Linked DNA regions of Sus scrofa. The protein of the gene in region 1 purifies or fractionates together with the protein of each later gene. This does not show direct contact. Links are inferred from orthologs where the notes say so. Each region holds a gene or a part of one and is shown in the gene's direction. Other genes may lie near its edges.

Region 1 (4,699 bases):
TGTGCGACTCATGCTTGCCTCCTCCCGGCTCACTGGCAGGGCTTAGGTTTTTACTGTAGGAAGAGTTCGTGTTCAGGGTGGCCTGTTGGGTGGTGGCCCTCCAGCGAGCGGCTCCGGGGGTGTTCCGTGGGTCCCATTCCCCCCAGGACATGCTCAGAACTCGTGCCCCCTATGCCTTGTCTCAGCTCTTTCCCTGTGGGGTCCTGGGAACTGGACGTCTGGGAGGTGGCATGTATGTGTTGTGCCCAGCCTTGGAACCCTGGTCCTGGCCAGGCCACTTATGAGTCTGCGGACTCCTGGAGCCTCTGTTCCCTCAAGAGAATAGGATGGAGGAGACTGTCTGAGGCTCTAAGGCCAAGTGACACCGTGTAAGGACCCCACCAGTCCCCACACTGACCACTTGCTTCAGGTCTGTGCCAGAGGCTTGGGGCTGCCTTTCCTGGGTCGGGGAGGGCTTGTCCAGGAGTGACTCTCAGAGCCTGAGCCAGATGCCTGGCCCAGGAGTACTCCCCACCAGAAAGGGGAGAGCCCCGCACTGAGGTTAGGCGGCCACTTCTCTTTGACCTGCTTGTAGGTCAGCCAAGCTGTGCCAGGGCTAAGGCTCTTCCCACTCCGGTTCCAGTCATGTGGTCACATTCAGTGCCTGCTGCTCCTGCAGCCTCCTATATGCTGAGAGGAGGCTTCTCCCACTCACCCTCTCCCATCCTGAACTCTGAGTTCTGACCTGAAATGCTTTTTATGTGATGCCAGTAGGCTCCCAGCAAGTTCCAGAGGCCACCAAGTCAGGCTCTGGATGCCAGTGGCGGAGGTAGGGCTCTGTGTGGAGAAGAGAAGGGCTCAAAGCGGTTAAGGGCAGTCCCTGCCGATGTCCACATGAGAAGGCTGGGCAGCGCAGGCACATGGGCTCCCTGCACCCCTCCCTCTGCCCCATGCCTTGCCAGGAGCACATATCTGGGTGGGCAGCCCCAGGCCATTGGCCCTCAGATGCAATTGAGGGCTGTCTGCCTGCACAGTAGGGGTGGGACTCAGCAGGTGTTGTCTCTCCCTTTGTGCCTGGTGTGGAGAGCCAGGGTGGGCTGTTGTGGGAGAGAGGTCGGCACCCCAGCCCAAATGTACCCCCTTTGAGTCCCACAGGGTCCAGCAAGGTTTGGCCTTTGCACAGGTGAGAGAACAGAGGCTGGGGCGCAGGACCCTGTCCTTCACCATGTTCCCGCAGTGAAGGGTGAGCAGGACAGCCTGGAGCCTGCCCAAGTGCAGCCCATACCTGAACAGGCAGGTGAGCGTGGGCTGGGCCTGGGCCTGGCCCTGGCCAATTGGCTCTAAGACCAGCTCTCCCTCTGCCTGCATTAGGACCGTGATGGCAGGCCCTGGACAGGTCAGGTGGAGGAGGAGCCTGGGCCCCACTGGCTGGAGGTGACCTGGGCCTGGGCAGGTGGAGACACTGGGGGTGTGTTGGTCTGGGCCCCCCAGTCAGCACACACTCGCCCTCTCCCTCCTAGGACAGGTCCTGGAGGAGGAGGCAGGTCGGAGCGTACAGAGTCGGGGCCTGCCTAAGGCTGTATGCGTGAACGGCACCGAGTCAGTCCAGCTGAGTGCCAAGTCGAGAGCGGAGCGCCGGGCCAGCGCCACCTCCAACCCCACCCGCAAGGCCTGTTCGGCCAGCAGCAAGATCCGCCGGCTGTCAGCCTGCAAGCAGCAGTGAGGGTGGCTGCCTCCAGGTGGGACATGATGGGGACCAGCAGGACTGAGTTGGGGGCACACTGTGGGTACTGCCAGTACTTGGCTTATGTCACTGTCATGGCCACTGCCGACTATGGCCAGCTCTGCCCTTCACAGTCATCAGTCTGCTTATCACCACGGGGTCTGGGTTGGAGGTGGGGGAAGGTCACTTTTAGCGGGCTACAGGCCCTCAGTGGGGTTGGGGAGCCCATGTGCAGAAGAAGGGCCCCTTAAGATGACAGTCTGTCCTGCAAAACTGAGTGGCTCGCCCTTCCCCAGTGTGGGCTGCTCCCAGGACAGGGGGCTGCTGGCTTTGGAGGGGCTGTGTAGGGTGGGTGGGAGGTTGGGGGCTGGGAGGGGCCGTGGCTGTCATCTTGGTTGTTGCTGCCTGCTCTGCTTCCTTCTCCCACCTTTGTTTGCCCTGCCCCCATCCTGAAAGGCCCTAAAGGACTACAGGCCCCATGGCCTGCTTAGGATGTGAACAGCAGGGTGGGGGTCTGAGGCTGTAGCCTCTGTCCAGCCACATCCCCTCTCCCACGGAGCTGCCCTGGAAGTACTTCTCTGCCAGCTTCAGAACAGCCAGACACGGTAGAAACTGCTTTGGAGGGAAACCTGGTTCTGTGGAGAAAGGGCAGTGCTTAATCTCTCCAGGCAGTAAGTAATTCAGAGGGTGGTCCCTTGAGGCAGCGCAGCCCTCCCAGGCACTCCCAGCACTGTGTGACCTCCCAGCACTGTGTGACCAGGCCTTGGTTTCCCCAACCTACAGGGAGCCCACGTTGGGCCTGTTTTTTGGGATGCAGAGCCTATGTGTTGACCCAGAAGTGACCCACTTTCTGTCCTGGTCTCAGCCTATCTCCAGGAGCCCCAGCCAGGTCCTGCTCAGTCTTCCTGCCTACTGCTGGTCTGCTGCCCACCGCCCCAGGAAGGCCGACGCTGCACCCTTCGTGCTGACCGCCCCTTCAGAAGCCAGGGGGTCCTAGAGGGCTGTGGCTAGGGGCAGCAGAGACTGGAGCCCGTCCCTCCCCTGATGGCCGGTGGACACGATCTCCTGCTGACTGCAATCCTATGCTGAGCCCCCTCCCCCAGCCAGGGGAGGAGGGAGAGGGCCCGGTGTGGCCCCGAGCCAGCCTTTGCCATGCACTTTACGTTGAGACTACTGGTTCTCGCCCACCCTGACTCCTCTTTTTACTCTGCCACTCGTTAGCGCCTCCCACACCTGGTGATGTGTTCAAGCCAACCACAGCGGCAGCAGGATGGGCGTGACGACCAGGCCTGTCCACTGAGATGCATGCCTAGTGCCCAAGGGAGCCAGGCGGCTGCCTTGTTTTGTTGTTTTGGTTGGTTCCTGTTTCTTTTTTTCTTTTTTCTTTTTTTTTTTTTTAAGAAAAAATAAAACAGGTGGATTTGAGTTGTGGTCATGAGGGATGTTTGGGAATTGTGGGTGGCAGGATGTATTATCAAGTGGGTGATCAGAGTCTGAGCCTGGGGCCCTTTGTAGATCCTGTGGTGGAGGGGCTGGCCGGGGTCTGCAGGTCTTGCTGGTAGTGCCTGGTAGGGACATGGCCTTTGGCCATGTTGGATCTCTGTGCTGTCTTGGTGACCCAGCCTCCAGAAAGCTCCAGAGCCCATGGCTGCACAGTTCAGTGGCCTGGAGATCCTGATCCCTTTCCCCCCAAGGCCTCTGTGCTCTTGGATCCCATGAGAAAACTCAGAGCCAGCAAGAGTATGCAGTAAATATAATCAACCAGAAAACAAAACACAAACTCCATCACTGGATGGCACACTGACAGTGCGAAGCTTCGAAGGAAGGGACGGGGCAGGGCGACTCGGCCGCTGGCGAGGGCTGCCCCATCTTTTGGCAATAAATAAAGCTTGGGAAACTTGAAACCTTGATCGTTTGGATTTTGTGTCTGAAACAGTGGTGAGTCCTAGCGGCTCTTTGGATTGATGCAGTAGGGGCGTGCGGCCCACCCAACATGCAGAGGGCGGGCGTCGGGATGCAGACACTGGGAGGAGGGCTGGAGGGTGTATCTAGGGCTGGGGATGGCAGCAGCAGATGCGGTTATTGCTTGGAGGGGGCGCGGACTGCTGCGAGCACTCGCCGCGGTGAGGTAAACGGCTTCAAGGGGTTGGCGGCCGCGGTCTTGGGCCAACCTCCTAGCCCAGGGCGGATGCATTCTTCAAGGGTCCTCGGCACCCCGCAGTCACTGTGCTTGTGCCCTGGCGCGGACTCTGGCGCGCCTCGAGGCCCAATTGGTCCTGGGAGGGGTCTCTCTGCGCATGCGTCTAGCGCAGTTGCTGTGCATCGCCCCTCTAGGATGCAGGCGCTGCGCATGCGCTACCCATCGCCATGGGCCCGAGACGCGGCAGTGGTGTGTGCTACGCTCAGTCACCAGCTCGAGGTCGCTGTCCAGGACCAAGGGAAGCGGAACGTGGTCTTCAGGAGTCTGAAGATGAGAATCCGCCACACTCCCTCTAGTCGACCCAGCTAAATGCCCGGTATGAACTGTGTGCGTGCGCATCCTGGGGCGGCGCGGGGCGCCTGGGGCACTGCTTTGTGCGCGAGGCCCCCCAGTCCCAGCGCATGCGCACCAGGGCGTCGCGCCCCAGGTGTGTCCGGTGCCAAGGCCCCGCCCGTGCTGTATAAGCTGACGAGGTGGGCGCAGGACACAGACTTAGACGGGGCTGTGGTCGGGGGATGTGGGCGCGGCTGCGGCCAGCGCAGGGGCCACAGCGACAGGCTGGGCCAGGCGCGGCGGGAAGAGTCTGTCGTCGAGGCTGACTGCCAGCTTGTCCAGGAGAGCGCCCTGAGGCCCGGTGCACAGGCCAGAGCCTGGGCAGCCGCCGCCGGGCTCCTCCTCGATGACGGGGATGGCGAGGGCAGCTGGGTCCTCTCCTGCGCGGCCTTCTGGTGGGCAGTCGACGCTGTCCCCGCGGCGCAGGGGTGCGCGCGCAGGGCGGGGGGCGCCGGTTGGTGCCC
Region 2 (6,011 bases), on another chromosome or scaffold:
ATCCCAAGTGCCGTGGGAAACACAACCTCCTGCCACCCCAGAGTCAGCCTCTCTGGGGACCAGAGCTTCCTCTGGGTGCTGCCTCTTCTGAGTGCTGCGTCCCCAAATCACGGCCTTCTTTCCCACACTGCCCTTTATCACACCCCTGCACTTCTCCTATGACTGAAAGTTTGGGGGGTAAAAAGATAAGGGAAGCATCATACAGCAACAACCGAAAACTGAGTATTGGCCGGCGCAGACCTGGAGATCCAGCAGCCCTTCACCGTCACTTGGAGGTCCCCATGTCTAAGCCAAGTCTCACCTTAGACCCTTTTACTCCATCCCTCCACTCCCAAGACTCTTCCTTCCCTCTGCAGCTCCCAGCCACCAGTTCCCAAGTCACTGTGCCTGTCTGTTAGTTTCTATTGATTATAATTTAAAAATAAAATTAAAAACAAACAAAAAGTAGAGTTTCGTCCTCAGAATAATACCCCAAGCTCTACCTCTCACCTGTGATTGTATTTCTAAAGCTTCACTAGGAGTTCCCATTGTGGCTCAGTGGTAACAAACCCAACTAATATCCATGAGGATGCGAGTTCTACCCTGGCCTCAGTCAGTGGGTCAAGGATCTGGTGTTGCCACAAGCTGAAGTATAGGTTGTAGACATGGCTTGGTATCCAGTGTTCTGGCTGTGGCCAGCTCTGTCCGATTCAACCCCTAGCCTGGGAACCTCCATATGCCACAGATGTGGCCCTATAAAGTAAAAAAAAAAAAAAAAAAAAAAAAAAAAAAAAAAAAAAAAAAAGAAATGAAATTTCAGAGTTCTGAAATAACTATCTTCCCAATGAAATCTTTCTTGGCCAGAAATAGGCTGGGAGCCATTATCACATGTTGAAAATTCAAAATCTTGTTCCTCAAACTTTGTCGAATGATCTCAGAATCATTTTACCCTTAGTCCCTTTTCTTTTCTTTTTTTGGACGAATGAAAGTGTGTTGCTTTCATTCCCCCAAAATATCTCGAGTTCTACCAGCTATTTGCACACCTTCCTATTTAAGGTTTTTGGCAATTCTTTGAGCAACTTTTGCAGTGCTTTTCTTATCTCTATGTTCTATCTGAAGCATAACTAAACACAACCATTTCCACATGGAAAGTGTTGATTCTACAAAAATAATCAGTGAAACCGTCACTGTCTTGGAATCCTAAATAATTTTATCTTCGAGTATGGGTTTGGCAAGTCCATAGGGAGGACAGACACTCAAAGAGATGATTGAGGTATGCGTTTTCTGCCCTCCACAGTGTTTAAAATACCCCATGAATGCAGAATTCCCAGTCGACCCCAAATGATAGGAATTCAGCAAGACCCAGCTTAAGTACAAACAAAGTGTTACGTCTACCAATTGTGTGATTTCTGTGATTCCACATGAGTTAAATGCACTTATATTCGCCTTTAAAATTGGCTTCGTATAATATAAAGACAGATGGTAAGATGCATGCTAATAATTGAAATTTTTGCTTTTTCCCTTTCTTAGAATATTAAATAGCAAACTTTAGAATGCTATGAAAAGTTGAAACACTGCGGAATAAGGGAAAAGCTTTAGATTCTATAGCCTTTACGGGTAATTTCCCTTCTGCTTTTTGAACTAGTGATGTGCGTTTTCAATTTGCTTTGGGCTCACAAATCCTGCGGCTGACCCTGCAGCAGGGCGGCCTAGGCAAGGGCAGCAAACCAAAGTATAAATAAATAACGCACCATACAACGTTCGTTAGGACTGCGCAGAAAACTGAGGAGGCCAGGATGGCTGGAGCAAGTCGGAGGGATCTGGGGATTTGATCTGTGAGCGATGCCAAAGACTCTGGATTGTTAGGGATTTGAGCAGAAGAATAACAAGACGACTTAGGTTTCAAAAAGCATCATTTTGGCTGCGGTGGCTGTCCGGGAGTAGCCTGGAGGGAGGCGGAGTGAGGTCCGGAGAGGACCGAGCTCAGGCCCTGTCGGGTGGTCCACGCTGGCGCAGCCGCTCTCGGATGGGGGGCCTGCAGGAGGGGAGCCCCCAGGAAGGACCGCACCGCCTGCACCGAAGCGGGAGGGCTGCTGAAGGAGGAGGCGGGGGGAGGAACCGAAAGCTGGGTTTTGAACTTTAAAATTTCCGTGGCCTCAGAGTAAAGGCAGCGAAGAGTCCGCAGACCGGCCCCAGTCCCCGCCCTCCCTGGCTCCGAAAGCCGCGTCCCCAGACGCCAGGCGAGTCCTCCAGGACATAGAGTGCACGGGCCAGAGCGGCAGCGACCCCGCCAGGCCGCAGCGACGTCTAATGACGCGCCGGAACCGATGATGCGCCTGCGCACGGGAGCTCGGCGGCGACGGCGGCTTTTACGTCATCGCGGGCGCGACGCCCGGAGGGACAAGTCTGGGGTCCAGCTAGAAGGGGAGGTACGGCGGCGGGACCGGCCGGGAAGATGCCAGTGGCGGTGATGGCGGAAAGTGCCTTTAATTTCAAAAAGTTGCTGGATCAGTGCGAGAACCAGGAGCTGGAGGTAGCCATTCGCCTTTCGGGGTCGCGCGTGGCCTTGTGCGGCGCCGGTCTCCAGGGTAACGGGGCCCGAGGCCCAGGGCCCGCCGGGCTGGGGCGGGCGCGGGGCCGGGCGTGTGGAGCCCGGGACGCCGGGCCTGCTCCTGGCTGAGCATCCAGGCCTCGCCTCCCCGAACTTGCTGGGGGCTTTTTGTTGTTTTGTCTTCAGCCAGTGAGCCCGAAAATGCTGTGCGTCTTTGCTCCTAACACTCTCCAATATGCTTCTCGGGTTAAAGATGTTTCCTCCCCGTCGTGGGGAGAGGTGAGGGAGTCTGTGTGCGCGTTGTAGCCTGTTCCTAACTCGGAAAGTCCTTAGTCTCATGTCGCGGAAGCTTGCCGTCTTAGCTTCATTAGGACTGGTGAAATTATTTCACGAAGGTCTTAACAGTAAGGGTTTTTTTTTTTTTTTTAATTTTCTTAGAAAGGCACTTACAAGCATGTACAGTATCAGTATAAAAAGTTAATTAACCCAAAGAGACTACTGCCAGAAGCAGCAGCTCACTAATAGACACTTAACAGATGATTTTCTGAATAAAGTTGAACAAGGAGAGAAACGTCTTCGTCATTCAGCTGTGACATTTCTCTCTTCGTTACTCACTTACCTAGATTTTCAACATACCTGGTGTAACGGGCAGAATCATCATACTTGAGGAATCTGTGGGAAATACTCTTGTAACAGTAAGGCCATTTAAATAAGAATTTGAGAACTGGGAAAGGGATCCCACTGAAATGTTCCCGTGCATATATAAACTCAGTGGCCCAGAGGGAGATAATTCATAGCTGGTGACAGATCTAAACTTATCACTCTGGCTTTTAGTGTGTGACACTCTCTTTTTCTCCATCTGTAAGGGTAAGTACTATGAAATATGCTTACTTTTTAGATGCTTTGAAAAATACAAAAGTATACAAATAAATGAGCTTTTTCTCTTTTGTTTTTGGCTTTAAAGGCTCCAGGAGGAATTGCTACACCTCCAGTGTATGGTCAGCTTCTAGCTTTATATCTGCTCCATAATGACATGTAAGTACTTTCTACCTAAAGCTAAGAGAAACAGCTTCCTGAAGAAATTATTCTTGCGTTGAAGTAGCATCACTAAAACATAGACAGAAGGAGCTTTACATTTTATTGTAATAGTATATTTATTTCATATACTGAATCATGGCTTAAATCGTGATTAGGCTGAGTTAAAATGCACTTCTTTTCTTATATCTTTCTTAAAATTTTTCAATCTGTTACGATGAACTACAGTGTCAGTAAATTCCTTTAAATCTGTTAGTCTCTTCTCTTTTGTTTTGTTATGAAATGTCTGTCTTTTATGACCTGTTTACTTAATGTCACATGTGATCGATAGACTAAGAGAAACCGAAAGGGAAAATTGAGAGAGCTAAGAGGAATTTGTTACTGTCATGTATGCGATTTCTTGAAAGGTTTTGTTTTTAATTATTCCTCATTCACGTTCATTGAAGACAAGTCAGTATAACTGCGCAAAAAAGAGTCCTTATGTTCTGAAAGCCATGATTACTGTTCAGTTTTGTTTTAAAATTCTTGTAAACCTTCTTATTTGGCATCTTTTAAACTAAACTGAGATTTTTATTACTCATCTATTGTATAAATTATGTTTCTTGTTTTATAATCATGTCATTATATGTTTGTTATCGTTCAAGATTCCAAACTCTTAAAAAAAAAAAAAAAAAAAAGAAACCAAAAAATCCTGCCTTGAAGGTGTGGTGGCTCTGTAGCCACTGGTAGGAGGAAGGGTCATGAGATGGAGAAAAGCACTGTGTACCTGTATACTGTCAGGGAACAGCAGTGCCTTGAAAGTGTATGAATCTGTTTATTTTTATATATGACTAAATTATTTAGGTAGTCCTCTTTAAGTCTTTGTACTGTAACCTTAATTTAAGATCTGGATTATTAATTTAAAAATTCACTAAAAATGGCAAAATGTTACTTTGGTAAAATATTTCATGTCTTTTTATCTGGGAAACCGCTCTCATTTCACCTGGACAAAGTCATGTACAACTAAATTTCACCCTGTTTAACGTAGAGTATTTCAGAGTATACTTGTGTGTGTTTGCAGTGGGATCTAGAATTTTAGACATTTACTAGGATGATTTTTCTAAATTGCTTCTTCTTTCTTGGGGGATATAAATTAGGAATAATGCAAGATACCTTTGGAAAAGAATACCACCCGCTATAAAGTCGGTAAGTACTCTTGTGATGAATCTTACTACTTTACTGTAGTAATGACATTCACTTAAAAAGCAGTTTCAGCGAGTTCCCCTTGTGGCTCAGCGGTCGCGTATCCGACCAGCATCCATGAGGGCACGGGTTTGATCCCTGGCCTTGCTCGGTGGGTTAAGGATCCAGCGCTGCCATGAGCTGTGACATGGGTCAAAGACGGGCTCGGATCCTGTGTGGCTGTAGCTGTGGTGTAGGCCGGCAGCTGCAGCTCTGATTCGTCCCCTAGCCTGGAACCTCCATAGGCCTCAGGTGTGCCCCCCAACCCCCCAAAAGCAGTGTCTTACGAATTCTCTTGTGACTCAGCATGGGAATCTGCGTCGTCACTGCGGCCACTCGGGTTGCTGCTGTGCGCAGCTTTGACCCCTGGCCCGGGAACTCGCCCATGTCGCATGTCGCGAGTGCAACCAGAAACCCCCAAAACAAAAAGCAGTCTCGTAAAAGTTTGTTTTCTTTTCCTTGTGGCTCACAGAAGTAGTTATTAAACTGGTAATAAAGTTTATGAACAGATCTATAAATTCCTCTGATGAGAAATTGTAATTTCTGTTGGATGTTATAGAAATCTGTATATCTGTAAATATAAATAAAAATCTTTTTAAAAAGTGTTTAAGGTAACCAATTCCTGGACTACTTCTGGACTATTTTTGGAATGCCTTCTTGTGCCTTCATTTTCTATTATAACAAAAATCCGTAGAAAATGTGCAAATAAATTTTACAGTACCATTCACAGCGTTTAAAGCCCTTTGACAGTGATTGGGGTGAAAAAGTAATTACACTTTTTAAATGCCGAGTTATCTTTTAAGATACAGCTGTTGTTATGTCTGCAGAGTGCATATTCTCAGAGGCAGTGATGTTTCTTGCAGGCAAATTCTGAACTTGGGGGGATTTGGTCAGTGGGACAGAGAATCTGGCAGAGGGATTTCCCTGGCGTCTACAGCACCATCAACGCCCACCAGTGGTCCGAGACGGTCCAGCCCATCATGGAAGCACTTAGAGGTAGTGTTTCTTTGTGGTCTAGAATTAAGTTAGGCTAGACCTCTCTCTCAAGTCCTGCCGCGTTGAAGTAAGTCAATGGTGTGTTTTTAAAAAAAAGTATGTTCTGCCAAGTGGATGAGGAAGTTTTCAGAATTCTTTTTTAGATTTGCTGTAATTGTACTTTGATTTCATGTTGCTTGAGTTTATATTATCAGCTGAGGACCTCACTGTCTCAATTTAATTCTAGATT

What was found. The genes of interacting proteins can lie anywhere in the genome.
Region 2: the proteins of STK11 (region 1) and COPS8 purify together in Homo sapiens (affinity purification with mass spectrometry; 3 studies listed by BioGRID and IntAct, with this or other methods). This does not show direct contact. The link is inferred for Sus scrofa from reciprocal best matches to the Homo sapiens genes STK11 and COPS8.

The regions. Positions count from the first base shown.
Region 1 is NC_010444.4:77,228,799-77,233,497, reverse strand, and holds the end of STK11 (serine/threonine-protein kinase STK11), read left to right. Parts: exon of another isoform or gene 1-1,134; coding exon of another isoform or gene 1,135-1,166; exon of another isoform or gene 1,167-1,413; intron 1,414-1,499; coding exon 1,500-1,702; 3' UTR 1,703-1,718; intron 1,719-2,158; exon of another isoform or gene 2,159-2,373; intron 2,374-2,485; exon of another isoform or gene 2,486-2,567; 3' UTR 2,568-3,610; downstream 3,611-4,699. Other genes in the region: voltage-dependent calcium channel beta subunit-associated regulatory protein-like, read right to left, coding at 4,395-4,699. UniProt on the Homo sapiens protein: Tumor suppressor serine/threonine-protein kinase that controls the activity of AMP-activated protein kinase (AMPK) family members, thereby playing a role in various processes such as cell metabolism, cell polarity, apoptosis and DNA damage response.
Region 2 is NC_010457.5:136,825,929-136,831,939, forward strand, and holds the start of COPS8 (COP9 signalosome complex subunit 8), read left to right. Parts: upstream 1-2,293; 5' UTR 2,294-2,434; coding exon 2,435-2,512; intron 2,513-3,494; coding exon 3,495-3,565; intron 3,566-4,701; coding exon 4,702-4,750; intron 4,751-5,649; coding exon 5,650-5,782; intron 5,783-6,011. UniProt on the Homo sapiens protein: Component of the COP9 signalosome complex (CSN), a complex involved in various cellular and developmental processes.